Linked DNA regions of Anolis sagrei. The protein of the gene in region 2 interacts with the protein of the main gene of each other region in a biochemical or structural test. Links are inferred from orthologs where the notes say so. Each region holds a gene or a part of one and is shown on either strand. Other genes may lie near its edges. The genes, in order: SORCS1, SORT1 and BDNF.

Region 1 (10,297 bases), on a different chromosome or scaffold from region 2:
ATTATCTTCATGGATGCAAGCCGGGCTACATCCAGGGGAGGGGGGTTAGAGGTTCAACCCCCCCTCCCCTTTCCCAGATAGTAGGGTTCCCATTGCTAGGCCTATATATAGGTTGTTTTCAACTCTTAAACATTTGAAAACATACATAAGAAGCACAATGGAGCAAGAAAAACTGGACTTGCACTCTGGACTTGCACTCTGGAGTGTCCACTGAAATTTATCAATGAAGCCTGAATTCTGTCAAAAGTGTATGGACACAGTTTTCAAGTGTTTCCAACAGAGTTTTAGTATTCTTTTGTAACTATATATTACCAATTAACTGTCATTTTCATTTATTTTAAGACTTGAAACTTTGTAACTAAAATAGAAAATTGATTTAATCAATTATATATAAAAATATAGATTGAACCATACTATTTAAATAGTTTTGTGCTATGGAATGACTTGATTGCTTTTTTAAAAAGTCTTAACTCTCCCACCCCCACCCCAATTTTTTTTTTCTAGCTATGACCCTGGACACAAGGATACTTTTTTGGTCTTATTTATATGTTTATTTTGTTATTGTGTGCCTCCAAGTCATTTTTGCCTTATAATGACCCTAAAATGAATCTATCACAGCATCTTCTGGGGCCGGGAGTGTGTGATTTGGCATTGGTCACCAATGAATTTGCTGAACAGGGAACTGAACTCTGGTCTCCAGAGTCATAGTCTAACATACTTAAACTTGTAGAGTCTTGTAAGACCTTAAAATGCTCTCAATTGCAGTGGTTTATGGTAGACTTGTGCAATTTGCCCAAAAGGTATGCCATTTTGGGGTCCATTTTTGGCTAGCCCCTCATTCTATTTACCAGGAAGTTACTCGAATTGGGAGGAGTGTTGCCATTTTCATTCAGGAAATATTTGACCCATTGGCTACAATGGGAAACTTTAAAGGCTCAATTCTCTGTCATTTTAAGTCCTATCTGCATGAAAACTACCTTAGTTTTAGACCCCATTTACAACTGCAGGCATGCTAAGTTTCAGAACAATTCACCGATCTACTGATTTTTAGAATTATTTTAAGTTTTCACCATAACATTTTTAAAATAAAACAAACCACAAGAGACGGTTCTGGGAATTGTAGTCGCTGGTTGTGTCCATTTTCAGCCAATCAGATTATGGACACAACCAGGCCTTTTATTGGCTGAGAAACAGAAAGAAAGAAAAACTTCAACTCTCAACATGCTTCCAAAGGAAATCAGAGACTTTTCAATGCCACCCCATGCAAGTGCTGCTGGGAAAGCGGGTTCCAAGCAGGGCTCTCTCTGGAGAAGGAGGCTAGGGAACTTTTCCACTGGTGAGGAAAGAGAAAAGACACTGCATGATCTTCTCCGTGAGCCCCGCAGCAGACCCCCTGCCTCAGGTATAATGCAGACTTATCTACATCCTCTCCAGTACCCAATAAATCCGGCTCTCTTGATCCATTTTGCCCAGCTTTTCGGTTATCTCTTGCCTGTTTTTGTGGGATTACACAAAATGAACCGCCGAATATTATAAATCACTTTCAATCGAACTGATCCGGGCCCAAGCCTAGTCTATAGTGCTCCAAAGTGTGAGATCTTTTCCTCTGCTCATCAGTTACTTTTGCTATTCAAGACAGAGGGAGATTTCACTTGCCCTTTTCTTCAAAATCAGGTATGATTCCTGGCCGATGCCTAGTAGGGTTGTGCATTCAGGGTAAACCTTGACCCATTTCATGTTCCGGCTTTCAGTAGGGTCCTGATCCATTTTTGGTAGCCTCCCAAAATCAAAAGGGCAGATATCTGTTTTTGCTCTGGAGTCCCAAAAAATCCTTTTTTTATTGGACCAGTATTGGGGGGGAGGGGGGGGGGCTTCCTATTTAGGCTCCTTTCCCAGCACATGCTTTAAGGACGCTTTTTCTTACCTGGTGTTTCTACTCTATAGGAGGCCCTCAACTGCAGGCATTGCCCAGCACAAGCTTTCTGAGCCTTCACACTCTCTCTTTCCAAGGCAAGGAGGCAAGTTCTTTTTCTTACTCTAGAAGAGGCACTTGGCTGTAGGCACTAACAGGCATGAATGCTTTCTGGGGCTGCACTCCACAGACACACTCTCTTTCCAAGTCAAGGAGGCAAGCTCAGGGAGGCGCTTAGCTGCAAGCATGATCACTCTATCTCCTGGGCTATACCGCACCAGTCAACCACACACTTTCCAAGGCATTTTAAGGAGGCTTCCCACTTCCAGGTAAGTAAGAACAATGACCTCCTGGAAGAGGAGAGTAGTTTTCAGGGAATGATGGTTTTCTTTTAGTTTGCTGGCGGATTGATAAAAAAAAAAAGATTAAACTGTGATGCCAAAAAGCAAGCCAGGAACCAAAACCCTTTCCTGCTTACTTTTGTGTTGTGCTGATTTTTGTACTGGGAGGGGCTTTCCCATTATGTGCTCCCAAAGTACTAAAAGAAACAAAGGAAAAAGGAGATACGAATTCCACAGACAAGTCTAATGTCTGAATGATGATTATGTGTGCATCCTTACATTCTTTCATTCTCTTCTGAATTTTCTGGTATTCACTGCAAACCTGACATTTTGCCCACATTAATGGCAGGCATCCTCAGAGGTTCTGAAGTTTGTTGGAAACAAGGCAAGTGGGGTTTATATATCTGTGAAATGTCCAGGGTGGGAGAAAGAACTCTTTTCTGCTTGAGGCAAGTGTGAATGCTGCAACTGATCCCCTTGATTAGCATTGAAAAGACTTGCAGCTTCAAGGCTTGACTGCATCCTGCCTGGGGGAATCCTTTGTTGGGAGGTGATTAGCTGGTCTTGATTGCTTCTTACTCAAACACAAATCAATGAACATGAAAGGCACTGCAGACTAATTCAACCAGAGAAGTCAGCCATGGCAGAGCACCTGATGAACCAACCTGGACACAGCATATTATTTGAAAACATAGAAATGATGGACCACTCTAACAACTACCGTGGAAGACTACACAGAGAAACCACAAGCACATGGACAATTTCAACAGAAAGGGAAAAACCTTGAAAATGAACAAAATCTGGCTACTAGTATTACGAAAAACTCTAAAATTAGGACAGTAAATAAAGAACAACACTCAAAAATCAGGGGAATTCCAAACAAGAATTGATCAGAGCCAGCAAATACATCTCAACAAAGAATCCCCCAGGCAGCAACCAGCCAGGCTCTGAAGCTGTAAATGCTAACCAAGGAGGCAACATTCACACTTGCCTCATGCAGACAAGAGTTCTTTCTCCCACCCTGTACATTCTGCAGATATATAAACCCCAATTGCCTATTTCCCAACTGACCTTACAGCCTCTGAGGATGCCTACCATAGATGCGGGCAAAATGTCAGGAGAAAATGCTTCTAGAACATGGCCATATAGCCCGTAAACTCACAGCAACCCAACTTGGGGAGAACTAGAAGGGAATTCCCATTGGGGAGACTTGCAGAGAGAGAGAGCTCGGGTGCCTGGCAGAGAAAGCAGAAAGCTCCACTGATCAGACAATGATGTGTGCAATGCATTTGCTTGTTGAAAAACACAGTTTGTGTCTCTTTCCAATTTTAAACTGGTGCCATTGAGATGGGCAAACTTGGGTCTTCCAGGTGTTTAGGACTTCAACTCCCACCATTCCCAACAGCTTCAGCCCCGTCCTTTTCCCCCTCAGCCGCAAACAGCTCTCCTGAAGAAGTGATGCGGCATCTCCATAATGCTCGGAGCTTCCGGACCCAGCTCTCATACTATTATCAGTGGGAGTTGAAGCCCAAACTGACCCATGCATGAGCTATCTCAACCTACTAATTAGCATAAGTATTCTGATTGGCCAGCCTCAAACTTCTAACATTCTTAAGCGGCTAAGCATGAAAAGGAAGGGGCCTGAGGCTGTTAGAAATGGTTGGAGAGTTATAGTATGATAGCTGGGTCCAGAAGCTCAAGTGTTAGGGAGATGCCACAAAGATGGCTGTGAATAAGGGAAGAGAGGGGGCGGAGTGAGAGCTTGGAGATGGAAGGAAGGATAGGACGAAGGGGATGTTTAGGGTAAGGGTTAGGGCAAGATTTAGGGTTTGGGTTAGCATAAGGGTTAGGGTAAGGTTTAGGGTTTGGGTTACGGTAAGGATTTGGGTAAGGGGTTAGGCTTAGGCTTATGGTATGCTTCAGGGTTAGGGTAAGGGTTTCATCATTAAAAAACTCTTACATTCCTATCTGTCTCCGGCCTGGCTTACATTAGCTAAGTCTCTCTTGCACAAACAGTGCTCCCGAAGAAGCGATGCAGCATCTCTATAATGCTCGGAGCTTCCGGGCCCAGCTATCATGCTATTACTGTTGGGAGTTGGAGTCCAAAACACCTGGAGGGCCCAAGTTGGCCCATGCATGAGCTATCTCCACCTACTAATTTGCATATAGAATCATAGAATCATAGAGTTAGAAGAGACTTCATGGGCCATCCAGTCCAACCCCCCACCAAGAAGCAGGAAAATCGCATTCAAAGCACCCCCGACATATAGCTATCCAGCCTCTGTTTAAAAGCTTCCAAAGAAGGAGTCTCCACCACACTCTGGGGCAGAGAGTCCCACTGCTGAACAGCTCTCACAGTCAGGAAGTTCTTCCTCATGTTCAGGTGGAATCTCCTTTCTTGTAGTTTGAAGCCATTGTTCTGCATCCTAGTCTCCAGGGCTGGAGAAAACAAGCTTGCTCCCTCCTCCCTATGACTTCCCCTCACATATTTATACATGGCTATCATGTCTCCTCTCAGTCTTCTCTTCTTCAGGCTAAACATGCCCAGCTCTTTAAGCTGTTCCTCATAGGACTTGTTCACCAGACCCTTGATCATTTTAGACGCCCTCCTCTGGACACATTCCAGCTTGTCAATATCTCTCTTCAATTGTGGTGCCCAGAATTGGACACAGTATTCCAGGTGTGGTCTAACCAAGGCAGAATAGAGGGGTAGCATTACTTCCCTAGATCTAGACACTATGCTCCTATTGATGCAGGCCAAAATCCCATTGGCGTTTGCATCACATTGTTGGCTTATGTTTAAATTGTTGTCCACGGGGACTCCAAGGTTTTTGATTAGCCACCCTCAACCTTCTAACATTTTTAAGCGGCTGAGATAGGAAAGGAAAGGACTTGAGACTGTTAGGAATGGTGGGAGTTGAAGCCCAAAACACCTGGACGGCACAAGTTGGCCAATGCCTGCTATAGACACAAGTTAATACAGACATACAGACAAACGGGTTCCCATCCCCCATCTTTATTTTCCCCTGCATGAAACTTCGAGTGCGATATACAACCCGCTTTTCTCAAACCTAGAGGAACCAGATGTGGTTTACAGATGTGGTTGTAAACCTGTCCTGAGTCGCGCTGGGGAGGTAAACGCACCCCAAAGAGACGGAGGCCGGCGGATCCTGATGGGAGATGGAGAGAAGGAGAAAGTTGGCGAGATGGAGGAGGAGGAGGGGAGGGGAGAGAAGGAGGGAGGGAGCGAGGGAAAAAGGAGGGAAGGAAGGGAGGAAGGAAGGGGACGCCGCGTCGGCGCTCTAACACCCAAACGACGAGAAAATCCCAGAGAGGAGGAGGAGAAGCGATTGGCGAAAGGGAAACCGGGTTGGGGAGGGCGGGAGAGAAACGAGGAGGGAGAAAGAGGCGGGTTATGACTACTCTCCCTCCCTCTCTCTCCCTTTCTCTCTCTTTTGGACTTCTCCAAAAGCAGCGCCCAGAAACCGCCAAGCAGGGCTGGCTGGCGCGCGCATCCTCTCTCATCTCTCTCTCTCTCCTTTTTCTCTTTTTCTCCATTCTCTCTCTCTTTCGCGCTGCTCCAGCTCCTCCCTCGTGTGGTTGTGGCTTTTCTTCATCCCTTTTCCCCATCAAAAAGCCCGATCTTTTGGAGGGAAAAAACGGGGGGAAAGAAATCCGAAAGGAAGCGAAGAAAGCTCTCGGGAGGGGGAAAAAAAACTTCTTTGGAGTTATCGCTGCCTCGTGCCTCTCCCCGTTGGGTCCACAAGAGAAACATCTATCTCTGCTGTTCTCCCATAGCCTTGCTCTGTCTTTCTTCTCTTTTTTGACACATACACAAGTCTTTCAACGGCGTCGAGGGCGATGGGAAAAGTTGCGGGCTGGACGTGGCTGGTGCTGATGCTCCCGTTTGGCTTCATCGGGGCGGAGATCACTTGCCAGGCTTGCCAAGGGCAAGGGCAACACCGGCTCCAGCCAGGATTATTGCTGCGCTTGAGGGCGAGGAACCCAGAGGAGGTCAAGGAGGGCGCCTCGGGTCGGCTCTTCTTGGCCGCTTTGGGGAAGAAGCCTCTCTCCTTGGAAGGCGGGCAGCCGGACCCTCTTTCTGCTCTCCCCCGCGGACCCGGGACCTCCGCTTCCGCCTCCCTCTCGTCTCCGCTCGGCCTCCCGCTCCCCAATCAGGCGGCGCGGAGGCGGAGGCGGCAAAGCCGGAAAGCCCGAGACGCCCAGCCGCCGGAGAGCCGCCCGGAGCCCGCCACCCGCTTCCGACCCGAGGAGCTCAAGCTGACCAGCACCACCTTCGCCCTCACCGGAGACTCGGCCCACAACCAAGCCATGGTCCACTGGTCCGGACACAACAGCAGCGTGAGTAGTTGCCCTCCGCGCCCCCGGCCCGCCCCTCGCTCCTGCTGCGTCTACACCCTGGAATGAATGCGCTTCGACACCACTTTCGGACTAGGGAATCGCGGGAGTTTGTCACAAGGTCTTCTCCGCCAAAGAGGAGGGCTCCTTCGACTACAAATCCCAGGATGCCCCAGCATTGAAAGTCGTGTCCAAGCTGCATTCATTCCACAGTGTCGAGGCACTCCCCGCCTTCCAGTCCCTGCTGCTGCTGCTGCTTCATCCCAAAGACCCAGGCAGCAAAGGATGCGCTTGGAATCCCCCCCTCTGCTGCCCCCTTCTCTCTACTCTAGTGGTTCCTAACCTTTTTTTGGACAGGGACTACTCTGACCAGGGCTACTTGACTAGGGACCACTTTGACCAGTTACCACTTGAGCAGGGATCACTTTGATCAGGGACTACTTGGACCAGGGACCACTTGGACCAGGGACCACTTTGACCAGGGACCACTTTGATTAGGGTACACTTTGACCAGGGACCACTTTGACCTGATACCACTTTGACTAGGGACCACTTGACCAGTGACCACTTCATTAAGGAGCACTTTGACCAGGGAACACCTGATTAGGGACTACTTTGACCAGGGACCAATTTGACCAGGGCCACTTGACCAGGGACCACTTTGACCAGATACCACTTTGACCAGGGACCACTTTGACCAGATACCACTTTGACCAGATATCACTTTGACCAGGGACCACTTCGACCAGATACCACTTTGACCAGATACCATTTTGACCAGTGACCCTCTCCCACATTAGTACCCAAAGGGTTACGAATTACTTTTTGGTCAACTTTAGATTTGGTTTGGTTATTTGGGGTGCTGATTCAGAAAAGGACAGTGGATAGACCATATAAGTTCTAGTTTCTGATGCAGAACATATGCCATCCAGTAGTTGCCATCTGCTCACCCACAGAAAACCATATTTAATAAGCCTCGGCACTATAAGAGGGTTTCAAGAGACCAGTTGCTCTTGTTCCAATGGTGTAGTAACGGTGAGGCCACGGACCATATTTTACTTCTTACTGACCACTGGTAGTCCACAGACCACAGGTTGGAAGCCACTGTTCTATTCAGAGTTTTGTCCACTCTTTGGTTGTAGTATCAATGCAGTTTGACACTACTTTAACTGTCATGGTTCAATGCTAAGCTATCCAAGGTTTTGTAGTTTGGCAGAGGTACCTAAACACCTTGTAAAACTACAACTCATGACTCCCTAGCATTGAGCCATGGCAGTTTAAAAAGTCATGTGAAACAGATTCATTCTACGGTGCACCCACAGTTCATTGACACCATGGGGATTGGTAGATGCCATGTCAATGTCGTTCTGGCTGCTTGAGCATTTACTATTAAAAATATGCCAGTCATAAACATTGTATTGACTTGATATTTTAAGAAAATTAAGACAAATACAGACACACTTGACATTAATGCAACATTTTCGCTAAAATTGTTTTTATTTTACTGGGTTGCTATGAGTTTTCTGGGCTGTATGGCCATGTTTCAGAAGCATTTTCTCCTGACGTTTCACCCACATCTATGGCAGGCATCCTCAGAGGTTGTGAGGTCTGTTGGAAACAAGGCAAGTGAGGTTTATATGTCTGTAGAATGTCCAGGGTGGGAGAAAGAAGTCTTGTTTGCTTGAGGCAAGTGTGAATGTTGCAATTGTTATGTCTTTATTGAAAGTATTATTTCTGCTGGTTTGCCGATTGCTTGAGAGTTCCAGTTCCTTGAATTCCAGTTAACAGAGAGTCTACTGTACATCTATTTTAAATCAACTATTTTCTGTGTCTTGTGTTGACATCCTCTCTGGAGCAGAAAGTTTCCTGCTCCACTTGGCATGCTACTAGGTGCATTTGAAGACATCCATGCCCTGGATTTTTTAAAAAGAATGAACCCTAATCTCTGTGTGCAATGAATGGAAAAGGGTTTTCTGAGCTGACTGGAAGAAAAAAGGTGTTCACTTCTGTGGAAGGGTGTGTGTGTGTTGTTTGAAAGCTGAAAAGGGTCAGCTATTTCAGCCCTGAGATGCTCCTTGTTGTGACAAGTGGCACGAGTGTGGCAAAGTGATAAAGATGAATGGTGGCAGCAGGAAAGCATGGACAGGAGTGCTATAAACTCTGTGTGAGGCAACTGGGGAGCCCTGTCTTCATCTGCTGCATGTCTATTTTCTGCCTCTTCTGATAGCATGCATCCTGGTTTTGCCCTTTCTTTCCACCCACAAACAAGTTGTTTCCCCCCACATTTCCCTCTTTTATTGTATAAATGGCACATTGTTTTGGAAAATTTATAAAGCTGTGCTTCCCCAACTGGGACGCCGGAATAGAAAAGTGTATCTCAGTTTGTATTCTGTCAGTAGTCTATGGTCCCCTAGCTTTAATTTAATAGTTCATGTCGCAGGCAATGAAGATTCGGTTTTGATCAAAGGGACGCCACTTGTACAATCTCCCTCAAGCTTGTCCCTAACTCTTTTCACTTTTCCCCAAGCACATTAAAAAGCTCAGGTTTGCAACCGAAGATTGGTTCACAATGTACCATTTGTTCCCTTGAGGCAGTTCAAGTGTCCGTTTATATAAAAATGAAGCTAAACTTGCGGGAAGAGGATGCCCGTTCACCTGTTGTTCTTGGGTTTATCCCTGTGGTGTTAAAATGAGTCAGTTTCTCTCATCTGTATCTCCAGTAACCCGGCTCCTTTTCATCCTGAATGTCTTCTATTTTTTCAAAGGTAATTCTGCTTTCACGACGTCTCTTATGACACTCTGCTGCAGATTTCATTCTGATAAACTGAGCCACTTTCTTTCACAGCAGTGTTGGTATAAACTGGACTTCAGTTTTTAGAGAATCAGGACAATACAGACTGAGACTCTGAATAATGCAGATCCCTGGGAGCTGCTTCTTAGTGAACAGGGAAAGTGAGCCAAAGGAATATAAGAGGGAACAACAACAACAAAAAGGATTTTTTTAAATGAAGCAGTCAGTTCTTCACAATAGCACATTTAAAGTATCATTCTCCCTCATGTCCATGGTGCTGCTACTTTTAGCTATGCCTCTAGTGGGTTTTTAATTGGCAGGGGGGAAATGAATGGAATGATCTGACCATTATCCCTTCCTTTTTAAAAATATGTGAATATAAATCTCATTGCACGCATTCTGTGTTCATGTCAGCATTTCTCCAGGAGCCAGACTTCATTGACTAGACTGTAATTTATAGACTTTTCAGGAACTTTTAAATCAACTCAAGTAAGCAATCAAAACAACAACAACATGCTCTTGCAAGTCTTTGGGTCATTTTATCTGTTTTCTTTTTTGCCTTCTGGATCTCTGATATAGTTAAAATTATAGAATCATAGAGTTGGAAGAGGCCTTGTGGGCCATCCAGTCTAACCCCCACCAAGAAGCAGGAAAATCATACTCAAAGCACACCTGACAGATGGCCGTCCAGCCTCTATTTAAAAGCCTCCAAAGAAGGAGCCTCCACCACACTCCGGAGCAAAGAGTTCCACTGCTGAACAGCTCTCACAGTGTCTTTAAAAATGAATTGTACACTTTGAATTGTTGATGTTTAAAACTGATTGAAAAGTTGGTCGCTGCTTCAGCCTGACTTACAACTTCACAACATATTTAAAAGCCTCCACTGGGTAGTCT
Region 2 (10,224 bases):
TGAAGGATTGATAGTAAAAGGGCATGTTTTACTATCAATTTCAGGCAATTTCTGACAATAGCAGTTTGATATGTAAGTAGGAGATTAACAGTCTCTGTGGTTCTGCTCCTTGTTAATTAGGAGAACAGTGAAATCTATTTATGACACCAACATTCTGCTTAGAGCAGTGGTTCACAAACTTTGGTTGTCCAGATGTTCTCGACTTCAACTCCCAGATATCCCAGTGAGCTTGGGCCAACAGTTGGGAGTTCTGGGAGATGAAGTTTGGACAGCCAAAGGGTGGGAACTATTGACTTAATCTGCCACAGCTAATTACTATTAATTGTATTAATTGAATTTATGTGTGGTGTAGTGGTTTGGCCATTGGACAGAAGATGTATCTACACTGCAGCATTGATGCAGTTTAGACATCACTTTAACTGCCAGGGCTCAATGTTATGGCATCATGGGACTTGTAGTTTTACAAGATCTTTAGCCTTCTCTCTCCTAGAACACATCAAACTCAGGGTCCTACAGCATTGAGCCATGGCAATTAAACAGTGTGTCAAACTACATTAATTCTACAGGGTAAATGCACTTTAAGACACTGGGGACCAGGGTTTCAATCCCCACTCAGCCATGGGAACCCACTGGCTGACCCTGAGCATGTCACACACTCTCAGCCTCAAGGTCGCCAAATAACCTGGAAGCACACAACAAGAACAGCAACATTCAGGAAGCAACATTATGAACACCACTTGCAATTCAAAAGTGTTTATTATGCCATCCCTAAATCAATTTTCAGCAGCTCTATAGAAATATAGCACTCTAAAATTGTAGATCACTTGCATGCTGGGTGGATTCAGGTGAACTCCCCTGCCTTGTCACTAAATGCTGACAATCAAGCGAAACTAGTCTGAAGGTATTTCCTATAGAATGGCCTTCACAATCCATGCTCACTGGACAAGACATGTTTTGCCAACATGTCCAACAAACACTGGCTGTAAAACACAATGGGAGTTGAACACTCAGAAAAGCTAGGTAACCTGAGCAACCAAAATTTAGATTTGTGCACACCTATCCTGTAGCAGCTGGCTTCCTCACTTGCCAGTCACATCCAACGAATTCCAGAGTCTCGCTACTTTAGGATAAGCCATTCACATGAAAGCCAATAGTGCCCATCGGCTTTTAACACAAAACACAGGCTAATGAAGACAGTGGTAAGCTCAAAACCAGTTCATATCCCTCTAAGTGCCAGTAATCCTCAGAATGGATAAAGAAAATCTTTTCAGGGTGAACTAGATGTCACACACTGAGATCTTTTGCATTTTTAAATGCTTCTAACCAGCTCTGAGGGTGCATATACACTGCAGAAGCAATACAATTTCACATCACTTTAACTGCCTTGGTTCAATGTTATGGAATCCTGGGAGTTGTTAGGTGAGTTTCTTTGGCAGACAAAGACGAAGACATTGTAAAACTAGAGCTCCTAGGATTCCATAATACTGAGTCATGGCAGTTAAGGTGTTTTTGTTTGTTTGTTTGTTTGTATTTTGTCGTGTCAGGAGCAAGTCGCTTCTGATGTGAGAGAATTGGCCGTCTGCAAGGACGTTGCCCAGGGGACACCTGGATGATTTGATGTCTTTATCATCCTTGTGGGAGGCTTCTCTCATGTCCCCGCATGAGGAGCTGGAGCTGATAGAGGGAGCTCATCCGCCTCTCCCCGGATTCAAACCTGCGACCTGTCGGTCTTCAGTCCTGCCGGCACAGGGGTTTAACCCACTGCGCCACCGGGGGCTCCTCAGTTAAGGTGGTGTCAATCTGCATTACTTGTACAGTGTTGGTGCACCCTATGGCTGAAAAGCTAACTAGGTTGGAGAACTCTGCCATTCCCTCAATTTAAATGCACATTCCTGTTGGCTTCCTAGGAAGAATAGCACTCAAGTGCCAAAGAGTGTCAGTCTGTCTTGACTTAGCTCCAAAGTCATTATATTCCCTGGCTCTGAAGGTGTGGCTCTTCCCCATTCTTTCCTCACAAGTACGTCAGGCTGTCCACTCAAAAGCGTACATGCTTATTTGTGTCGCATATTACCAATGTTTAATTCTTGCAGTGAGCGCCACTTGGGTTCAAACCTTATCTGAGCAATGCAAGTCACCTGGCCTAGGAAACCTGTCAGCTGATTCAAGAGGAATAGGCACTGAATATCTTCTTTTTTTGTGCCAGGAGCAACTTGAGAAACTGCAAGTTTCTTATGGCATGAGAGAATTGGCCACCTGCAAGGACATTGCCCAGGGGATGCTCGGATGTTTTACCATCCTGTGGGAGGCTTCTCTCATGTCCCCACATGAGAAGCAGGAGCTGACAGACGGTAGCTCACCCTGCTCCCCGGATTCGAACTGCAGACCTTTCGGTCAGCAGTCCTGCCGGCACAAGGGTTTAACCCATTGTGCCTGGATGTTCTACCATCCTGTGGGAGCCTTCTCTCATGTCCCCCATGAGAAGCTGGAGCTGACAAATGGGAGCTCACCTCGCTCCTTGGATTCGAACCGCAGACCTGTCAATCAGCAGTTCTGCCAGCACAAGGGTTTAACCCATTGCACCACAGGGAGCTCCTACCGAATGTCTAATGTGTATCTTTTGTTGTATTTTGTGTTCCTTAAGGAAGCTTCTGGGACTGAGAGTGGATGATTTACCCAGAATCACCCCAGAAGATTTCCATGAACAAGTGGGGATTCTAATCCAGATCTCTAGAATTGTAGGGTGTATCCACACTGTCTAATTAATGCGGTTTAACACTACTAAAAACCGATTTTAATGCCATGGCTCAATACAGCTTGAAGCCACTTAAACTGCCGTGGAATTGTGGGAGTTTGTACTTTGGTGAGACATCAACCCTCTTTGCCAGTGAAGACTCAAGCTGTCGTAAAACTACAACTCCCATCATTTGATAGCACTGAGCCATGTCAGTTGAAATGGTTTCAGATTGTATCCATTCAACACTGCAGGTGCACCCATAGACGATTGCTGAAACTCCTATGCCATACTTGAAGTGACAGAGAGATTATTAAGAGGCATTCTGCACATGCTCAGAGACAGCATCTTCCTTGTCACTCTCAAGCTGAATTGAATGTGCATCTATATCAGTTATGGGCAAACTTGGGCCTTCTGGGTGTTTTGGACTTCAACTCCCATCATTCCTAATAACCTCAGGCCTGTTCCTTTTCCCCCTCAGCCGCTTAAGGAAGGGACCTGAGGTTGTTAGGAATGATGGGAGTTGAAGTCCAAAACACCCAGAGGGCCCAAGTTTGCCTATAACTGATCTACACTGTTGAATTAATGCAGTTTGTCACCACATTGAACTGATACAACTCAATCCTAGGATGTATAGTTCATATATATTTATATACAATAATATTATAATGTAGTACAATAATATAATAATCTATATATAAAAAATGCTCTGTGCATAATGAGTTCCTTAAAAACAAAAGAACCAATGGACGAAATCACACCAAATTTGGCAACAAAACATCTCACAACACAAGAAATGGCCATCACTCAAAAAGTATGAATTTGTCATTTGGGAGTTGTAGTTGCTGGGATTTATAGTTCACCTACAATCAAAGAGCATTCTGAACTCCATCAACGAGGGAATTGAACCAAACTTGGCACCAGAACTCCCATGACCAACAGACAACACTAGAAGGGTTTGGTGGGCATTGACCTTGAGTTTGGGAGTTGTTGTTCACCTACATCCAGAGAGCACTGTGAACTCAAACAATGATCGATCTGGACCAAACTTGGCATGAGCACTCAATACGCCCAAATATGAACACAGGTGGAGTTTGGGGGAAGTAGACCTTGACATTTGGGAGTTGTAGTCACTGGGATTCACAGTTCACCTACAATCAGAGCATTCTGAACCCCACGAACGACAGAATCGGGGCAAACTTCCCACACAGAACCCCATGACCAACAGAAAATACTTAAGGCCATCCAATCCAACTCCCTTCATGAGGGCAAGAAAATATAATCAAAGTCGTCCTGACAAAGAGCCATCCAGACATAGATATAGATAGATTGATATGATTCACACACAGAGCGAGATATAGTGTTATAGATTTGAAAGGGACCCCTAAAGAAGGACAATTCTATGTCGCATGTTCCAGAGTAGGCAAACCAGACACTCTCCACATCAACACCGACATAGAAACAACAAGGAATACTGTTTACCCTCAAGCATAAAGGAATTACATATATTAGAAACCATTACTTTATTTTCCAGATCACCAGACTGGGCCACAGCAACGCGTGGCAGGGGACGGCTAGCATATTATAATATAGTTGATAATATTATAATGTAATACAATATAATACTAATAATAATACAATATAATAATTATATATTTCATATTACATGTCATATTACTAATAATATTACAGTATACTGGTATAGTACAATATGGGAATGCATGTTACTAATATGGTGCTATGTAAATAATATAATATATTGTATTTACATATAACTTGTAAGCCGCTCTGAGTCCCCTTTGGGGTGAGGTGGACGGCATATAAATGTCGTAAATAAATAAATAAATATAGAGACCGCGAAGGAAGCTCAAGACCTTGTGAAACTACAATTCCCAGGCTGCCATAACTTTGAGCCATGGCATTTAAAGCGGTATCAAAGCAAACCCTGGGATTTGTGGTTTGTGGCCTCTCTGGCAGAGAAGACCCAAGACCCTGTGAATAGTAATTCCTTAGATTTCATAGCCTTGAGGCAGGGCAGCTGCAGCGGTGTCGAACCGCGTTAATTCTTAAGTGTAGACGCCCCTTTGAAGGACACCACAGAACGGAAGGCACCGAAGTCTCATGCTCTTCAGGCCCGTCTCCCCCACCCTTGCCTCCCGCTCACCTTGTGGGTGTTGTTGCTCAGCGCCTCCAAGGAGAAGCCTCCGTCCCGCGGGCCGCATTCCGCCTCAGGCCGGCCCTCCTGGGCCCCCCGCCGGGCCCGCAGCCTCCCCTCCCCGAACCGGAGCTCCCGTCCGCCAAGCAGCGCCGGCGCCCCCGCCAAGAGCAGCAGCAAGACCCCGACCCGCGCCAAACTCGCCCGCTCCATCTCCGCCGCCGCCGCTCACAACAACAATCGCTAGGAAACTCTCTCCTCAAGCTTCAGGGGCGGGCCCGTCCCGCCCACCCGCGCCCTCATTGGCCCAAGCCGACCAGGTATGTCAACGTCACTGGCTGCCGGAAACGCCAATCTCACCCACCTTCGATCAACAACCTGCCTCTCTTGGTAGCTTCTCCCCCATTCGTCCAACGCTCCCGGCTTCTTTTTTCTCATTGGGTTAACGCCTTGTCCGTTTCCGCACTGCAGTCGTTGATTGGCTCCCCGCGGCAAGAGCCTCCCCCCGTCAGATTCTCTAGCTGGGCAGCATCACCCCACTTTGAAGAGCACCTTGCCCATTGGCTAATTGCCTACCAGCGTTGTCCCTTTGCTGATCCTCGGAGTAATCCTAAAACATCCTCGAGGCCGTGCCCTGATTGGCTGCAGTGCAAGGACACGAAGTCCACGAGAGGCTAGAGGAGAACCTACACCGTACATCTAATGCAGTTTGACATCACCTTAACTGCCATGGCTCAATGAGATGGACTCTTAGGGGTTATACTTTTACAAGATCTTGAACCATGTCTGCCATAGCATTAAGCCATAGCAGTTGAAGTGGTGTCAAACTGCATTAATTCTACAGTGTAGATGCACCTCTGAAGATGGATTGAAGTCTAGACACACAATTCATGTGTTTGACATACACATAGCCAGATGATTGTATTATTTGTGTGCTTCATATACACATACGGAGCCCCCAGTGGCACAATGGGTTAAACCCATGTGTAGGCAGTATTGCTGACCGAAAGATCGGCGGTTTGAATCCAGGGAAGAGGGTGAGCTCCAGTCTGTCAGCTCCTGCTTCTCATGCAGGGACATGAGAGAAGCCTCCCATAGGATGGTATAAACATTTGGGTGTCACCTGGGCAGCGTCCTTGCTGACAGCCAATTCTCACACACCAGAAGCAACTTGCAGGTTCTCAAGTCGCTCCTGACACAAAAGAAAAATGTACACATAGCCTGATGATTGTTTTATACAGTATTATTTTGTGCATGGACATTTTTTTGTGTATATTGAACCATCACTATCTCAGCCATCCTTGTAGACCATTTTAGGTTTGGGAGCTATTTGCAGTTTCAGACAAGGAATACTCAGGTTGTATTCTGAATGTTAGACTTGTCAATATACACTGGCAAAGGAAAAATGATTTTGAGAAGAAATTGATACACAGCAAAGCTATCAGTCAAATCTCTGAACCTTTCTCTTCAGTTGAATCAGCTTGCTGTAGGGACACCCTAAGGGTTTCACAAGGTTAACAATTGTTCCCTTTATATCAACTGCACAACTGATTATATTAAACAGGGTCTCAGCACAATTGTGATAAATCAAATGATCATTTTCTGCCACATTTCCTACAAAATTGTGAAAATTCTTGGCTCACTTCCCACTTCACCATCCCAATCTGCAAAGTAAGTTGGAATGTATGTGCGCCTGGGGTTAATGCAGTTTAACCCCACATTTAACTTCCATGGCTGCTCTGAGTCTCCTATAAGACAGCAAAGATGGATAATTTTATTGAATCATCAGGAGCTGCAACTTACAAGGTCTTTAACCTACTCTATCCAAGAGTGTTAATGCCTCACCAAACAACAAATCCCAGGATTCCATAGTATTGTGCCACAACAGTCAAAATAATGTCAAATTGCATTAATTGTTTAATAAGATGCACCCTCAGGAAATTTCATGGTTGTGAAAGGATCTCAGCCTGTATCAGTCCAAATTCCAGTGTGTATAACACAGTCTCTCTGATATAGTTACTTAGGTAACTTATCTTTATTCAGGATTGTAGGAAATATTTTTCTTGAGCCAACCACTAGTTCAGCCCTGCACCTTAATTTTTACAAATAAAATAGCAGACAGTCAATAATCAATCCTATTGAAGAACATGTCCAGTTTGATCCTCATCTATTCCATGAATAGTAAAAAGGGGTTTTGTTTTACAAATAAGGGCATGCTGCCATGTTGGAATATTGCCATCTGTCAGAAAGAGGAAAGGAAGCCCCTATATACACATACATACATACATACATACATACATATTTATGCCATTGTGGAAGGGTTTTTGGCTTGGATGGTGGAAAATTAAAAAGGCCAAGAACTGAGCAATTTGAACTGGCCATTTAAAAATAATAATAAAGAATGCACACAAATGGAAATCTACAGGCAATGCAACCAGTTGAGTAAACTGGCAGTGGTTTTATGGGTGTCTCAATGTTAGGTGCAACACTAATGGAAGCACTGAAGTTCAAACAGGAAACTGAACCAAAAGGTTGCAACATGAAACTGTTGGGGATGGGGAAAAGGAAACATAATGGCATGCAACACAAATTAGATGTTGAAATAATGTATATACACTGCAGTGACATTGACAAAAATTATCTACTGAAGATAGATCATTATTAGAAAATAGCCCAAGAAACTGCTGAAAGCTTCCTCAACCTGGGACCCTCCTATTTTGTTGAATGTTTTTTTCCCGTGTCAGGAGCGACTTGAGAAACTGCAAGTCGCTTCTGGTGTGAGAATTGGCCGCCTGCAAGGACGCTGCCCAGGTAACGCTTGGATATTTTGATGTTTTACTATCCTTGTAGGAGGCTTCTCTCATGTCCCCACATGGAGAGCTGGAGCCGACAGAGGGAGCTCATCCGTGCTGTCCCCAGATTCGAACCTCCGACCTGTCAGTTTTCAGTCCTGCTGGCACAAGGGTTTAACCCATTGTGCCACCGGAAGCTTCTTTTTGTTGAATTAGACTTCTATTACCAAATTAATATAATCCCAAACCAAAGTCCTGTTCAAGAGACAGAAGTAGCCCCACTATTATAGTACTATATTCCTCGATGTATTTTAACCATATTAGATAATCTTCTAGCTTGACAAAGTAGGATATAGATAAAATATTTTTAATAGAAGAAAGGTTTGTTGTTTTTGAAAAAAGAATTCTAAATTGTTCCTGAAAACAGTATTACCAGAATAAACTGAAACAAGCTTCCCAAAAGAAAGAAAACAACTTGCCATAATCTCTGGCAATCTTTGCAAACATTCTAGAAGGGACAACACGGCTCCTTCCGAAATTAGCTGAGGAACAGCTTGATCTCTGGGAAACTGCCCCATAAGCAATAAAAATCCTGTGGGCCACTGAGTGTAATCTTTATCAGGACCAAGTGTTTAAGTTGGCTGGGGAAACCAACAGGCAACTAAGCAAGATCACCACTTTGATTACCAGTTTCTTAGCTTTTATATTTATAAAGTCTATAATTATGTGATTAAAACAAAAAGGCTGGCTAAGATTACTCTGGAATAATAACATCCTTCCAAAGAGCCAGCTTTTAGGAAGCTGCTATTTTTCAAAATACCACCATTTTGAAACTTTGTGGGTTATTCAGGATATTCAAGAAATTTGCTGGTTTCTAGCTGCAGCTAATGCAAAATCCAGACATTAATCTTAAAACATAATTTGAACTTGTAATTATTTTGTGCAGGTTATCCACATAACAATTATCAACAGACCAACTGTATTTAAATCTCCATTAGGAAACAGCAGCTGGCAAGTTTGAAATGATAACCACCATTCCCTAGTGATTATTGCCAATAAATACAGGGTGGGACAGCTCTTACTAGAACAAATAAGAAAATAAAACATTAATACATATCCGATTTGGTATACATTTTTCCCCTGAGATGTTTACATAACATCAGCTATGACCACTATATATATACAGGGTGTTCCAGAAATGTATACACCCTTTATCAACTAATTGTAGCAATTATTTGAAGGCTAAGTAAATACACTTATATTGAAGAATAAATGTTATAAAGATTTAACCAGGATTACATAACCCATCTTAAATTATTATTTTATGTAGAGTTCATATTGTCTCTGCTTGCATTGTTGAAGCATGGAGTTGCAAACTTCATTTAAAAGTTTAACTTTGTGATTTCACAATAATTTTCTAGGGTAGGGAGAAACCAAAAACAATCCTTGAATTATAAATTGTTTTGGCTTTGCACATTTTTGGGATTAGATACAGAAAACCCTCAAGGAAGTTTGTGGCCTGTTTGTATTACAACACATACTAAGAGCCAGAGTGGTATCGTTGACTGAGTATTGGATTAGGACAATGGGAAACAGGGTTCAAATATTTGATCTGCCATAGAAATTCACTGGGTGATGTTGACAGGTCATACTCCCCAGCCTCAAAAGGCAAGGGAAAAGCTCTGAATATTTTCAGCCACAAAACCCCTGTGATAGGTTAGCCTTAGGGTCACCATGACTCAGAAATGACTTGAAGGCAAACAATAGCATGCTGATGCAGAACCTGTACAAACAAAGGCAGCATACCAGTTCATGTCTAATTCAGTAACAGGAATATGTACCCTATAACTCAGTGGTTCTTAAGGTGTGGGCGGCAGACCACCAATGGGCCACGAGGACAAAAACCTGATCCGTGAGCCTCCTTCCTCATTATTTATTTTTCTCCCACTCTTCTTGCTCCGCCTGCTACTCCTTCCCTGTCGCTGACCATGGAAACTGGAGCTGATGTGGTTTATCCAAAGCAATTTTCTGAATCAGCCCCCCAAACGAAATCTAAAGTTGACCAAAACCTGTTTCATAACCCTTTTGGCACTAATGCTGGAGTGTGGTCCCTGGTCAAAAAAAGGTTGGGAACCACTGCTATAACTGATTCAGAAAAATCAGTACCAAAGAAAAATATGTACTATCTTATGGAGGATGGGCATCATACAACACTCCAGAGGTTGTTAGGACTGCAATTTCTGTCATTCCAGCCATCACAGCCAATTGCGTGGAATGAGTTACAGTACACTATGTGGAAGACCTCATGATGTCTTGTTGCAGACATATGTCATTTCCTCAAAATAAAAGATGCACAATATAATGTATTTGTGAGTTTTGAAAACAAGCAGGAACCCATCAGAGATCTTCCCTACAGTTATTTTTTAGCTATTTAAAGTGTTTGGATTTGAACAGTGGGATACACAGATATACTTTTTCTGATGCTATGACAGATATGATAAGATTTGTATAATTTTCTAATAACTCAAAGACCAACATGAATACAT
Region 3 (10,780 bases), on a different chromosome or scaffold from region 2:
AAATAACAACTGGGATTGCAGTGGACATTGATATAGCACAGGAAATGGCCAGTTCTTTTAAACACATGCCTCAGGCATAAAGATTAAAATGGTCAACAACATCAAGGGATGAGCTGTATTTTTAATGAAAAACTATAAGAGGAAAGTCAAAAATGTTGTTGGATACTAAGTTTTTCAGTCTCAATGATCTCGCCTTCCATTGTTCTTTCTTCTGTTATGTGGTAGGAGCTTTCTTTAGCAGAATGAATGGGAGGATCCATCAAAAACTTCAATCCTGCCTGGTTTAAAATATTTTAGAAGGGATTTCTCTATAAATATGTAAGCAAGCTCTTGAAATGGTGTGTAGGTGTACATTTTTAGGTGAACACAATAGCTGACCGGTAAAGAGGAGAGTATCAACCTGGTATGCTGGTTCAGGTGCTGCAGAGACAGGGGTCCAAATGCCAATGCCACCATCAGGTTTATTGGATGACTTGGGCCAGCCCCTCACTCTCTCTGTCTAATCCACCTCAGAGACAAAACTGAGGAGGAGGGCCACATATACGTCCCTCTGAACATTTGGAAAGAAAACCAAGATATACAGTAATATATCTCAAGAGGTTTCCATTCATAAGATCACTAAATCAAATGCCACCCTTGGACATTACTATCAATGTCCAAGTTTACTTCTGGTTTTGGAAAATAGCTTTTTAAAGAGAAAAAGTATTAGACATTACATAGAGAGGGATTACATTCTCTATAAACTTTCTTGTCCTTCCTTCTGAAAGTTTCCAGAAGACAAAAAGTCACCCTTGGAAGGGTGAGCAAGGAATGGTTTGGGAAGTCTGGAGAATGATGGGTTGCAAGGAGAACATGGCAGGAGATACATCCAGCCCCAGATCTCCCCCAACTCCCCCACTGTCTTTGGGGTTTGGGTTCTATGATTTCCAAGTATTAGTCCTTCCAGATGTTTTGGATCTCAAATTCCAAGCCATTTGTCCATGCTGACTGGGACTTCTGGAAACTGAAGTCCAACAGCCTCTCAAAGGCCAAAGCTTCAGTACCACCACACCTATAGATGGCTTTTCCCTCATGAATTCACTAAGCATATTCTAATCTCAATAACTGGCTTGAGCATCAACTTCAGGAGGCTGCAACCCACTTCCACAGAGGCACTTAAAGATGGCACCTGCTCTCCTCTCCCTCCTGCTTTGACATGGAAACTTGCCTGGTGACAATCCAAATGGCCTTTTCCTTCTATGGGCGTCCACTCTCACCTTGGGTTTTGCAAGGTGGTTGTTGTTGAAAGTTTTCTACTTATTCCAATCTAACGACATCCCTAGGGAAATTGTCTTGAAATAAGATTTGCTGATTTCAGTGGGACTTACCTCCAACAATCTACAAGACCAACTGAAAACATGAGACATTTGATGTGGGCCTTCAATCTGATTCTGAGGTATGGAGCCCATATCATAGGCTTTCCTTAGCAAACCTTACTCCATAACAGTTTGCCACCTTCCTAAGACTGAGAGAAAGTGACTTGCCTAAGACCACCCAGTGGGTTTCTAAGGCTGAGCAGTCAGTTAAACCTTGTTCCCCTAGAGTCCTGGTCCAACATGTAAACGACCATACCAGGCTAAAGAGACAATATATTCAGGGGATTTTTCCTTCAAATCAACTCCAGTGTCCAGTTTTCAGGAGCATTTCCCCCTACCTGGAACTTAGTGCAAAACGTATTTCATGGGGCTGTCTTTGGTAAGGGATACTCTTAGACCAGTGGTTCTTAACCTGTGGGTCACAGACCACAAGTGGGCCGCGAAGCTGAAAATCTGGTCTGCAAGCCTCCTTCCTCTTTATTATATTTTATTTTATTCCGCTCCTTTTGCACCGCCTGCCACTCCTCCCCTGTTGCTGACCATGGCATAGGTTCTGAATCAGAAACTAGAGCTGATGTGGTCTATCCAATACTATTTTCTGAATCAGGACCCCAAACCGAATGTAAAGTTGACAAAAACTGATTTGTAACCCTTTTGGTACTAATGTTGGAGAGTAGTCCCTGGTCAAGCAGTCCCTGGTCAAAGTGGCCCCTGGTCAAGTGGTCCCTGGTCAAAAAAAAGTTGGGAACCACTGTCTTAGTCTTAGATTATATACAGCCTACAGCGTGGGATATTCATTGCCAGTGTCCCATCCAAGTATTAAGCAGGACTGGCCCTGCTTGGGTTCCAAGCTCAGGCATGATCTGTTACCTTTAAGGCTGGCCCCGAAGTCCTTTTCGCCCTCTTCTCCCCCTCCACACACACACACACACACACTTCCTCAAGATCCTAAGGGTGACAGCGCTTGGAGGATGGCTTCATGGGCTCTGAACTGCTTGTGAGTGGAGAGGGTCCCTTCCTGGGACCCCGGCTCAAGGCTTTCCTCTGGCTTGTCCCCTCGAGAGCTGACCCCTCCCCCCCCCTCTCTCCCGCTCAAGCCCTTGCCAAGAGAGCCTTTGAATCTGGCTCCAACTCTGCAAATCCCCCGAGTCCCAAGCCTTCTCCTCTCTCTTTGGGCTGGCGCCGCCAATCCGTCGAGGGGAAGAGCCGGAGATGTGGGGGAAGCCAAACCCGCGTCGTTGTGGGCGTCCCAACTGGCTTTCCCTCCCTGGTGCCAGGTTGGCTCCAGAAGCATGTCTTTACTTCCATCCCATGAAGGGAGCCGCCCACCCACAACTTCGGGCAAACTTTTCCTCCAGTGGGAGCCTCTGGACTCTTCTTCCAGTCTCTTACAAAAGACTAAAACGAATCTCCGGTGCGCCTCCTCCTTCCAGTACTGCTTCTGTTCTGCTATTGCAGGTGCAATGCATGTCTCTTTGGAAAAGTCTGCCCCTGACTCATCCCGTCGGTGGGGCAGTCAAACTCGCCCACCCACTCGCCCACCCACTTTCCCAGCCTTTCCCCTTCTCGCACTGCTATTCTGCAAGCCGGTGGCGGAATGGTCCCCCTGGGAGGAGAGCGGTCACCCGAGGAGGAAAGGGCTCAGGGTCGAAGCCCAGGGAAACCCAGGCAGGTCGGGGAAACGAGCACCAGCCCGGGGCTCCTGAGCCTGCGCGGAGCTGGAGCTCTCCAAGGTGCTCCAAAGCGGGCCTCACAGCGGCGAGGGAAGGCAGCGAGGCCTCGGCCAGGGAGGACGGGACCCCGGGTTGGGGGAAGCGGGTGGCTGGAGAGAGGCCGAGGGACTGTGGAGCGCAGCCCCAAGCGGGGTGGAAGGAAGCGAGTGTCTCTGGGCAGATAGGAAACTCTGGCGCCGGTTGGAGGCCCGAATGGTGACGACACACCCCGCAGGGCAGGGAGGCGCATGGTGGGAGTTTGTTGTCCCGCTGCCGAAGTTGGGAGCTAGCTTCGAACTGCATTAAGCAGCCGGTGCAGATGGGGTTGGAGATGGCGCGCTGTGTTCCCTGGAGAGCAAGTCTAACGGAACACCTCAGGGGTCCCTTCCAAGGGAGAAACATAAAAGGGGGGGGGGGGAATAAGGAGGCTCGCTTCTCAGCCTTTAAGAGGCTGCCTTGGGAGTCAGGAGCATCACTGGACCCCATAGTCTCCCCTTCCACTCACACAGACGCACACCCAAGGCACGTTTCACCACGCCAGAGAGAGAGAGAGAGAGATCCCCACCAGCCCAGGTGTGCCAACCTACCTGCGCCCGGGGCCCCTCCAGCCTGGAGACGCTAAACTTAGGCGCCCAGAGAGTGAGGCTGGAAGGGAGCGGGAAGGGCCCTTTATAGGCTCTCCCTGCCCCGCCGAGAGACGCAAGTAGGCGCGCCAGCAGCCCACACCCAGACTCCCACTGCCCCTCCGTGAATCAGCCCTGCCTGGGCTTCGGGCAGGTGAATGTAAACACACACACACAGAGAGAGAGAGAGAGAGAGAGAGCCCGGTGGAGGCAGCACCTGTCCCTGGGCCAGTGCGCCAGGGGCCTCCATTCCCCATCTGCCTCGCCTGGCCGCCCGGCTGGCGCTGCTCTCCTTTTGAGCCCTGCCACCTGCGGAGCTGCGCCTGGGACGCAACAAGTCCCCGGAGTGTCTGGAGGGAGAGGGAGAGGGAGAGGGAGGCGAGAGAGAAGGGAAGAGAGAGTGAATGAGAGATGGGGGGTGAGGGTGTGGGACCAGGAGAGGGGCTGCTTCCTGAGTCCTTTCCCGGCCCTGCCACGAAAGACTCATGTCAAGGCTTCCGGGGACAGAACGAGAGGCACACAAAGTGAGCTGGAGAAGTTTGTAGCCCACTCCTCACGTGCGGCTCCCGAGAGGGTAGAGAGAGAAAGGGAGAGAGGAAAGGGCATACATCCCCCCTTCTCCCCCCCCCCCTCTTGTTCTGGTTGGGTCTCGTGGCTCAGCCTTTCCCCCCCTTCATTAAGATCACGTAAGAAGAAGCTACCCAAAGGGGAGAAACGTGCCTGTGAGCTCAGGCGTTTGCGTAAATCGAGGGCCGGCGGCGGTGTGTGGGGCGCGTGTGCCCGTGGGGCGTGTGTGAGTGTGTGTGATACAGGGAGCGAGTGTGTGTCTATATGTGTGAGTGAGTGCGAAGGCAAGCTCTCCCCGCCAGCCAGCCAGCCAGCCAGCCAGCTAGCCAGCAGCCTCCTGCCCGCCGCTGGCTGCCTTCCTTCCTTCCTCCCTGCCACCCTGCCTTCCTTCCTTCCTTCCTTCCTGCCTTGCCTGCCTTGCCTTGCCTTGCCTTGCCTGGCTTTGCCTTCCTGTAAGTCACCCAGGTGGCGGTGTGTGGCGAGTTTGGCGGCTCGGCGGATATTGCACAGGGTGGTTATTAGATTCATAAGTCACACCAAGTGGTGGGCGATCCACGGAGCCGAGCGGAGAGAGAACTTCTCACATGATGACTTCAAACGAGACACATTACCTCCCAGCATCTGGAGGAGAGACGGGATTGTAAAGGCGCTTCGGGGCTCCAGGACGGCCGGGGAAAAAAACAAAAAAAAACAATCAAAAAAGAACCCGAAACCATGGTGAGTGAGTGGGACTCCGGAGGGGAGGCTTTGGTGCGGGGAGGGGGAGGGAGGGAGGGAGGGGGGAGCGCCCCGGGGCGTGCTTCCCCCCAATTTGTGCTTGGAAAGAAAGAGACAGGGAGAGCTTCTCTCCAAAGCGGGAAGAAAGAAGGCTGTTGCTTGACAACAATTTACTTCGCCGCTCCTTCCCTTCCCCTCCGAAACCTTCCCCTGCCTCTCCTCCCCGCCCCCGCCCCCCCCCCGCGCCAAAAAAGAAGCCCGGCTTTCTGGAGCGCCTCCGTTTGGCCACGCAGAGCCCCAGCAAGCCTCGGGCGTCCCGGGAAGGAGGGCGGCGCGGTGCGTCTGCCCAACTTGAAGGAAGGGCCGAGCTTTGCGGGGATTTCGAGCTACGCAGAAGAAACTTGGAGCCCGGGTTTCCTTCCTCCGAAAGGAGCTGCTGCTTGGCTCTTGTTTTACTTTGTGGGACCCCCCTCCCCCTTTCTCCCAAAACACACACCGCTTGGCTTTGGATGGAGGGCATGGGGGGATGTGTTGGGAAAGAGGGTCAGAGCGATGGGGCGAGAAAGGAAGCGAAAGGGGGTATTCCTCTCCTCTGCCCCCACCCCCTCCCCAAATCCCCAGGTCCGTCCAACATGTGATCTTCTATTTACAGCCCGTGCAAAAGCCGGGCTCACGTGACTCAGGAAAGAGGGGAGGGGGCTTCAGGCCGCACCAAGTGACTTCATGGAAATGTCAACGCCAGACCTTCCCCCTCTTCTCCCCTCCTCCTCCCGCTTTTCCCAAGGAGAAAAGAAAGAGGGGGGCGGGTGGGGGCTGGGGAAGGAGTGGGGCTGGCCTCGGAGGGAGGCGATGGGGTTTGTCAGCCCAGGTAATCCGGAGTGAATCCCTCAGCGCTTAAAAGGCGGCCAGCCTGGACCTCCCTCCTCACACTGTGATAAGATCTGGCGAGGAGGGAAGCGACGGAGAGAGAGAGAGAGAAGAAGAAGAAGAAGGGAGAGGGAGAGGAAGGGAGAGGGAGAGCTCCCTCCTTGCTTCAGAGTTGCTCCTACGTCCCGGTTGTGGCGGACCTGGGCAGGAACCGCCTCCAACCCGGAGCGGCGGCGGCGGAGAGCGGGACAGACCCGCGCCAGAGCCGAGTTTGCGGGGGCGCCTGGGCACCGACGGCGCGGGCCACTCTGGGCGATGCGAGCGCCTCTGCCCGGCGCCATCTAGCCAGTGGCGGGGGGCTCGCGGGGACCGAGGTAAGGCTCCCCCTCCCTCTCCCACGCGGGGCTTTTCCCCTCCCCCTTCTCCTTCCTCTCCCTCCCTCCCTCCCTCCCCTCCTTCCCTGCCCCAGTCTCTGGTTGTTATTATTATGGGGGGACCGTGGGCTGCTCTCGGCCGGGTCTGTGTCCTCTCTCTGGCGGAGCAGAGGAAAAGAGGAGCCAAGGTAGGCGCCAGCGAGGCCCCTCACTCCCTTCCCTCTCCGGAGTTGGCCAGAACTCCGTCCAGCCCCCAGTGAATTGGTTGTGTTTGTGTGCTTTTGGGGGGAAAGGAGGGAGGAAGCGCGCAGTTCCTGGAGGGATGAATGAATGAATGAATGAATGAATGGAGAGAGGGAGGGAGGGATCACTCACTACATCACCAGCGAGCGATAAGCAGAGAGAGGCATCCCAGCAACGGAGAATACAGTCTATTTGGGGCAGGGGAGCTGCCTGCACGCACTTGGAGGGGGAAAACTCCCTTTTTGCTCCAAGCCTTGGCCTTCGCCTGCGTAGCCTCCCTCCCACCGGGGCCCCCTTTTCTTTTCTTTTCTTTTCTTTTCTTTCCTTTCCTTTCCTTTCCTTTCCTTTCCTTTCCTTTCCTTTCCTTTCCTTTCCTTTCCTTTCCTTTCCTTAGACTTTCCTCTGCGGGGAAACGGGAGGCTGGGGAAAGCTCTCTCCGACGGGAACTCCATCCTGCGCTCATTCAGTCCTCCGGCTCCTCCCCTCCCTCGTTCCCTCTTGCGATGCTCCTTCCTACGTAGACACGGAGCTAAGAATATTGAGTCGCTGGGCTAAAAATAAGCCGGGGAAAGTCAGCAGTTTGGAGCCGTAGGGAGAGGCAGAAAGAGAGGGAGAGAGCTCCGCTTAGTGGGCGCTGCTGCTACGGGGCGGAGAGGCAGGCGGGCGGGCAGGCGCATGGCTTTCTCCTCCCCAAAAGGACGCCTTCCCTTCCCCATCAGCAGCCAGAGCCGGGGGTGAAGCCTGGCCCCGGGTCTGGGCGCCCATCTGGACAGAGGGGCCCCGAGGAGAGGAGGCGGAGGGAGGATCTGGACCGGGGAGCGAACCAGAGACGCAGTCGAGCCTCTTCAAGCAGGGAGGGAGGAAGGGAGGGAGGCAGGGAGGGAAGGAAGGAGGGAGGGAGGAGGCTTCTCTCTTTCTCCCTCCTGTCGCCAATGGACCTCCTTCGCCCAAATGAGAGAAAGAGAGAAGGGCAGGAGGTGTCACAAACCCAGGAGGCTTGTGACGGGGCTGGAGAGGGACTGGAAAGAAATGGGGAGAGCCCCCTGTCGCCCCCAGGTCCAGAGAGGCGCCGGCAGGGACCTCCTCGCTCTTTCTTGCCCCAGAGGGAGACAGAAAGAGGGAAAGAGAGGAAGGAAGAGCAAGCGCTGCCTCTGGAAGGGAGAAAGAAAGAAAGAAAGAAAGAGAGGCCAGTGGCCAAGCCGGTGCTTTGTTTCTAGTCGCCGTGGCCCGGCTTAGGCGAGCGGATAAGCTGGGTGGCTTGACTGCTCCTTCCTTCCTTATCCACATTCTTCTTCCTTCCATCCGAGCATCCTTCCATACTCCCTCTCCTTCCTTCCTTCCTTCCTTCCTTCCTTCCTTCCTTCCTTCCTTCCTTCCTTCCTTCCTCCCCCTCCCTCCCTCCCTCCCTCCTTCCCTCCTTCCTTCCTTCCTTCCTTCCTTCCTTCCTTCCTCCTTCGCCTGCCTGCCTTGCCCGGCTTGCAGTCCCTCCTCCTCCTCCTCCTCCTCCCGCCTCGCTGCCTTGGCCGTTCATTGGGCCTCCTCCTCCTCCGCTGCCGCGATTGCGCTCACGTAGCCGCGCAGGGCAGGAAGACGACGAAGGCGACGACGGAGGGAGAATCCCTAGCGAGCACGAGCAAGCGCGCGGGGCGGGTTTGGAGGAAGGAAGGAAGGAAGCAAGGAAGGAAGGCAGGAAGGCGGGAGCCGTCGAGGCAGCCGGGGATTTCGCAGCAGGGTGTGGTTCGCCCAGGAGGGAGGCTGGCTCCAGCGGGACCCCAGGCCGAGGAGCGCACCGTAGACCCGGCAAGCCCCCCAATCCCCGCCCCTGCGCCCTGGCTTTCGCGCGCTCTTTTCTTGGGCTCCCAGCCAGGAGGGGCCTCCTTCGGAAGCGAGGGCGCAGGGGCGGGAGGAGGAGCCCCGGGCCCGGCTTCGGGGAGGAGGAGGAGGAGGAGGAGGAGGAGGAAGGCACGGGAAAAGGGCTGTTGGAGCGGGCGCCACTCCCCAGACCGTGCTGCGAAGGAAGGGATTCCGAGGTGGCGGCTCCCCACTCGCTGCCTTTCAATGCGGAGCGGGGAAAGGCCCGGTGGAAAACGGGGGGGGGGGGGGGGGGGGGGCAGAAGAGGCATTAAAGGCGCCGCGCGGGTTTTTCTCGCCCTCTTGTTTTTCTTCCTTCCTCTCTGCTGCGGGCCAGGAAAGGAAGAAAAGGAAATGTTGGGTTGTTGTACGTTTTTTGGCCTTAATGACCATGTTCTAGAGGCATTCTCTCCTGACGTTTCGCCTGTATCTATGGCAAGCATCCTCAGAGGTTGTGAGGTCTTCTTCTCCTGGCCGGCAGCAGAGAGGAGGGAAAGAATGCAAAAGGGCCTCACAACTTCCGAGGAAGCTTGCCATAGATGCAGGCGAAACGTCAGGAGAGAATGCCTCTAGAACACGGCCATATAGCCCGAAAAAACCTACAACAACCCAGTGATTCCAGCCATGAAAGCCTTCGACAATACAAAGGAAATGTTTTGTGTTCCTCACCATTGCTGTGCTTGGAGGGAGGGAGGGCAAGGGGCCATCAAGGCTCTTGGTCTTGCAAAGGCCGGCCTCTGGGGCGAAGGGTCCCTTGAAAGCCCTCAGGCGGCATCCCTTGGGTGGGCTTCGCAACGGAGCCCATGGCCCAAGTGAGATCGTGTCGTATTCAGAGCCTGAAACCGTGGAGTTTCTTCCTAGTTGTGCTTCTGCGGGAAATGTCCTCAGGGGCAAGTCAGAGAAGGGTTTCATAACCCAAATGGTACATCATAGGTATGGGCAAACTTGGGCCCTCGCTCCAGGTGTTTTGGACTTCAACTCCCACCATTCCTAACAGCCTCAGCCCCCTTCCTTTTCCCCCTCAGCCACTTAAGCGAAGGAAGGGAAGAAAAGGAAGGGGCCTGAGGCTGTGAGGAATGGTGGGAGTTGAAGTCCAAAACACCTGGAGCGAGGGCCCAAGTTTGCCCATGCCAGCGATATAGTTTCCCCTCCATCACCCTAAATCCCTGTTGGTGAAGCCAGGCTAAATGCGGAGCAAGTGCAGACCTACCTGTTGAGCTTCCATCCTTTTTGGTCCCGAATTCTCCTGCATATCTGTCTGTTGGGCTGTAATTTGGCAAATGTGAAGGTAGAGTTGCAGACATATGCCCCAGTCATTTGGCTTTTGGGTTAGGCGTTTCCGAACTTAGTTCCTGAACTTGTAGGTCCTGGGGAATCTAGGAGAAAAGCCCTCTACCTCCCCCCACCCACCCAAATCCTTGTCATTAATTTTTAGACGTCTGTATAAAGGGGTTATAATGCATGAAGTACTTTGCACATGCGCAGGGACTCTTGCCTGTTGATGCCTTTGCATGATGCAGCACAAGTCTTAAAACCCAAGGGCTGCTGAACCAAAAGTCTTGGGCTGGAAGCCTTTACCAGGAGAACTAAAGGGACAAGGTGTAAACTCAGACCAGGGTACTTTCAAACCCAGCTTATTTTCCCAGGTGAAGCTCCCACACAGGTACAACTATCAATACTGGGTGTATGCACAACTTAAACCAGTTTCAGGTTAGTTCCACAATTTGATACAACCTGACTTTTCAAAATATATGTAATTCTTAAATCAAAACCCTTAAATGTAATATTGTTTAGCGCCAGGATAAGTCTTAATCTGACCTTGCCTAAAATTGCCTAAAATTGCCACATATAGAGTCATAGAGTTGGAAGAGACCCAGTCCAACCCCTGCCATGCAGGGACATATGACCAAAACACCCCTGGCAGCTTTTGATCCAGTGAACAATTCCATAAATGTGTGTGTAGGATAAATATATGCTAATCCCATTATATCCATACACATGTTTAGAGACTGGGTATTATCACCCCATCCTTCCAATCCCCTATCTTCTCTTTTTTGATAGCCATATATAAATATATGAAGGCATGGCATGTAGAATATGGAGAAAGCTTGCTATCTGTTGTTGAATGGGTTGAAATGACAAACAAGTGATTCCACTGAATCATTAGGAGGAACTTTTGGACTGAAAGAGCTGTTCAGTGGTGCTGCGAACTCTCTTCTGCTTTGGTCAGACCTCACCTGGGATCCTGAGTCAAGTCCTGGACATTACAGTTCAGGAGGGATATTAACAAGGTGAAAAAAGTGCCCGGAGGAAGGCCATCAGGATGATCAAGGGTCTAGAAACCAAACTCTGAGGAATGGTGTAGAAAGACAAGAATGTTTAGTTCGGAGAAGCATAGACAGAGAGTGACATAAAGACTCCCTTCATGTGAAAAATGGGGCAAAATTGTTTTCTGCTGCTCCAGAAACTAG

What was found.
Region 1: the proteins of SORT1 (region 2) and SORCS1 form a complex in vitro, tested with the Homo sapiens proteins (2 studies listed by BioGRID and IntAct, with this or other methods). The link is inferred for Anolis sagrei from reciprocal best matches to the Homo sapiens genes SORT1 and SORCS1.
Region 3: the proteins of SORT1 (region 2) and BDNF form a complex in vitro, tested with the Homo sapiens proteins (2 studies listed by BioGRID and IntAct, with this or other methods). The link is inferred for Anolis sagrei from reciprocal best matches to the Homo sapiens genes SORT1 and BDNF.

What each region holds. Positions count from the first base shown.
Region 1 is NC_090023.1:210,962,831-210,973,127, forward strand, and holds the start of SORCS1 (VPS10 domain-containing receptor SorCS1), read left to right. Parts: upstream 1-5,528; 5' UTR 5,529-6,114; coding exon 6,115-6,615; intron 6,616-10,297.
Region 2 is NC_090024.1:184,773,398-184,783,621, reverse strand, and holds the start of SORT1 (sortilin), read right to left. Parts: upstream 5,171-10,224; 5' UTR 5,100-5,170; coding exon 4,896-5,099; intron 1-4,895.
Region 3 is NC_090021.1:260,645,278-260,656,057, forward strand, and holds the start of BDNF (brain-derived neurotrophic factor), read left to right. Parts: upstream 1-6,328; coding exon 6,329-6,403; intron 6,404-10,780. UniProt on the Homo sapiens protein: Important signaling molecule that activates signaling cascades downstream of NTRK2. During development, promotes the survival and differentiation of selected neuronal populations of the peripheral and central nervous systems.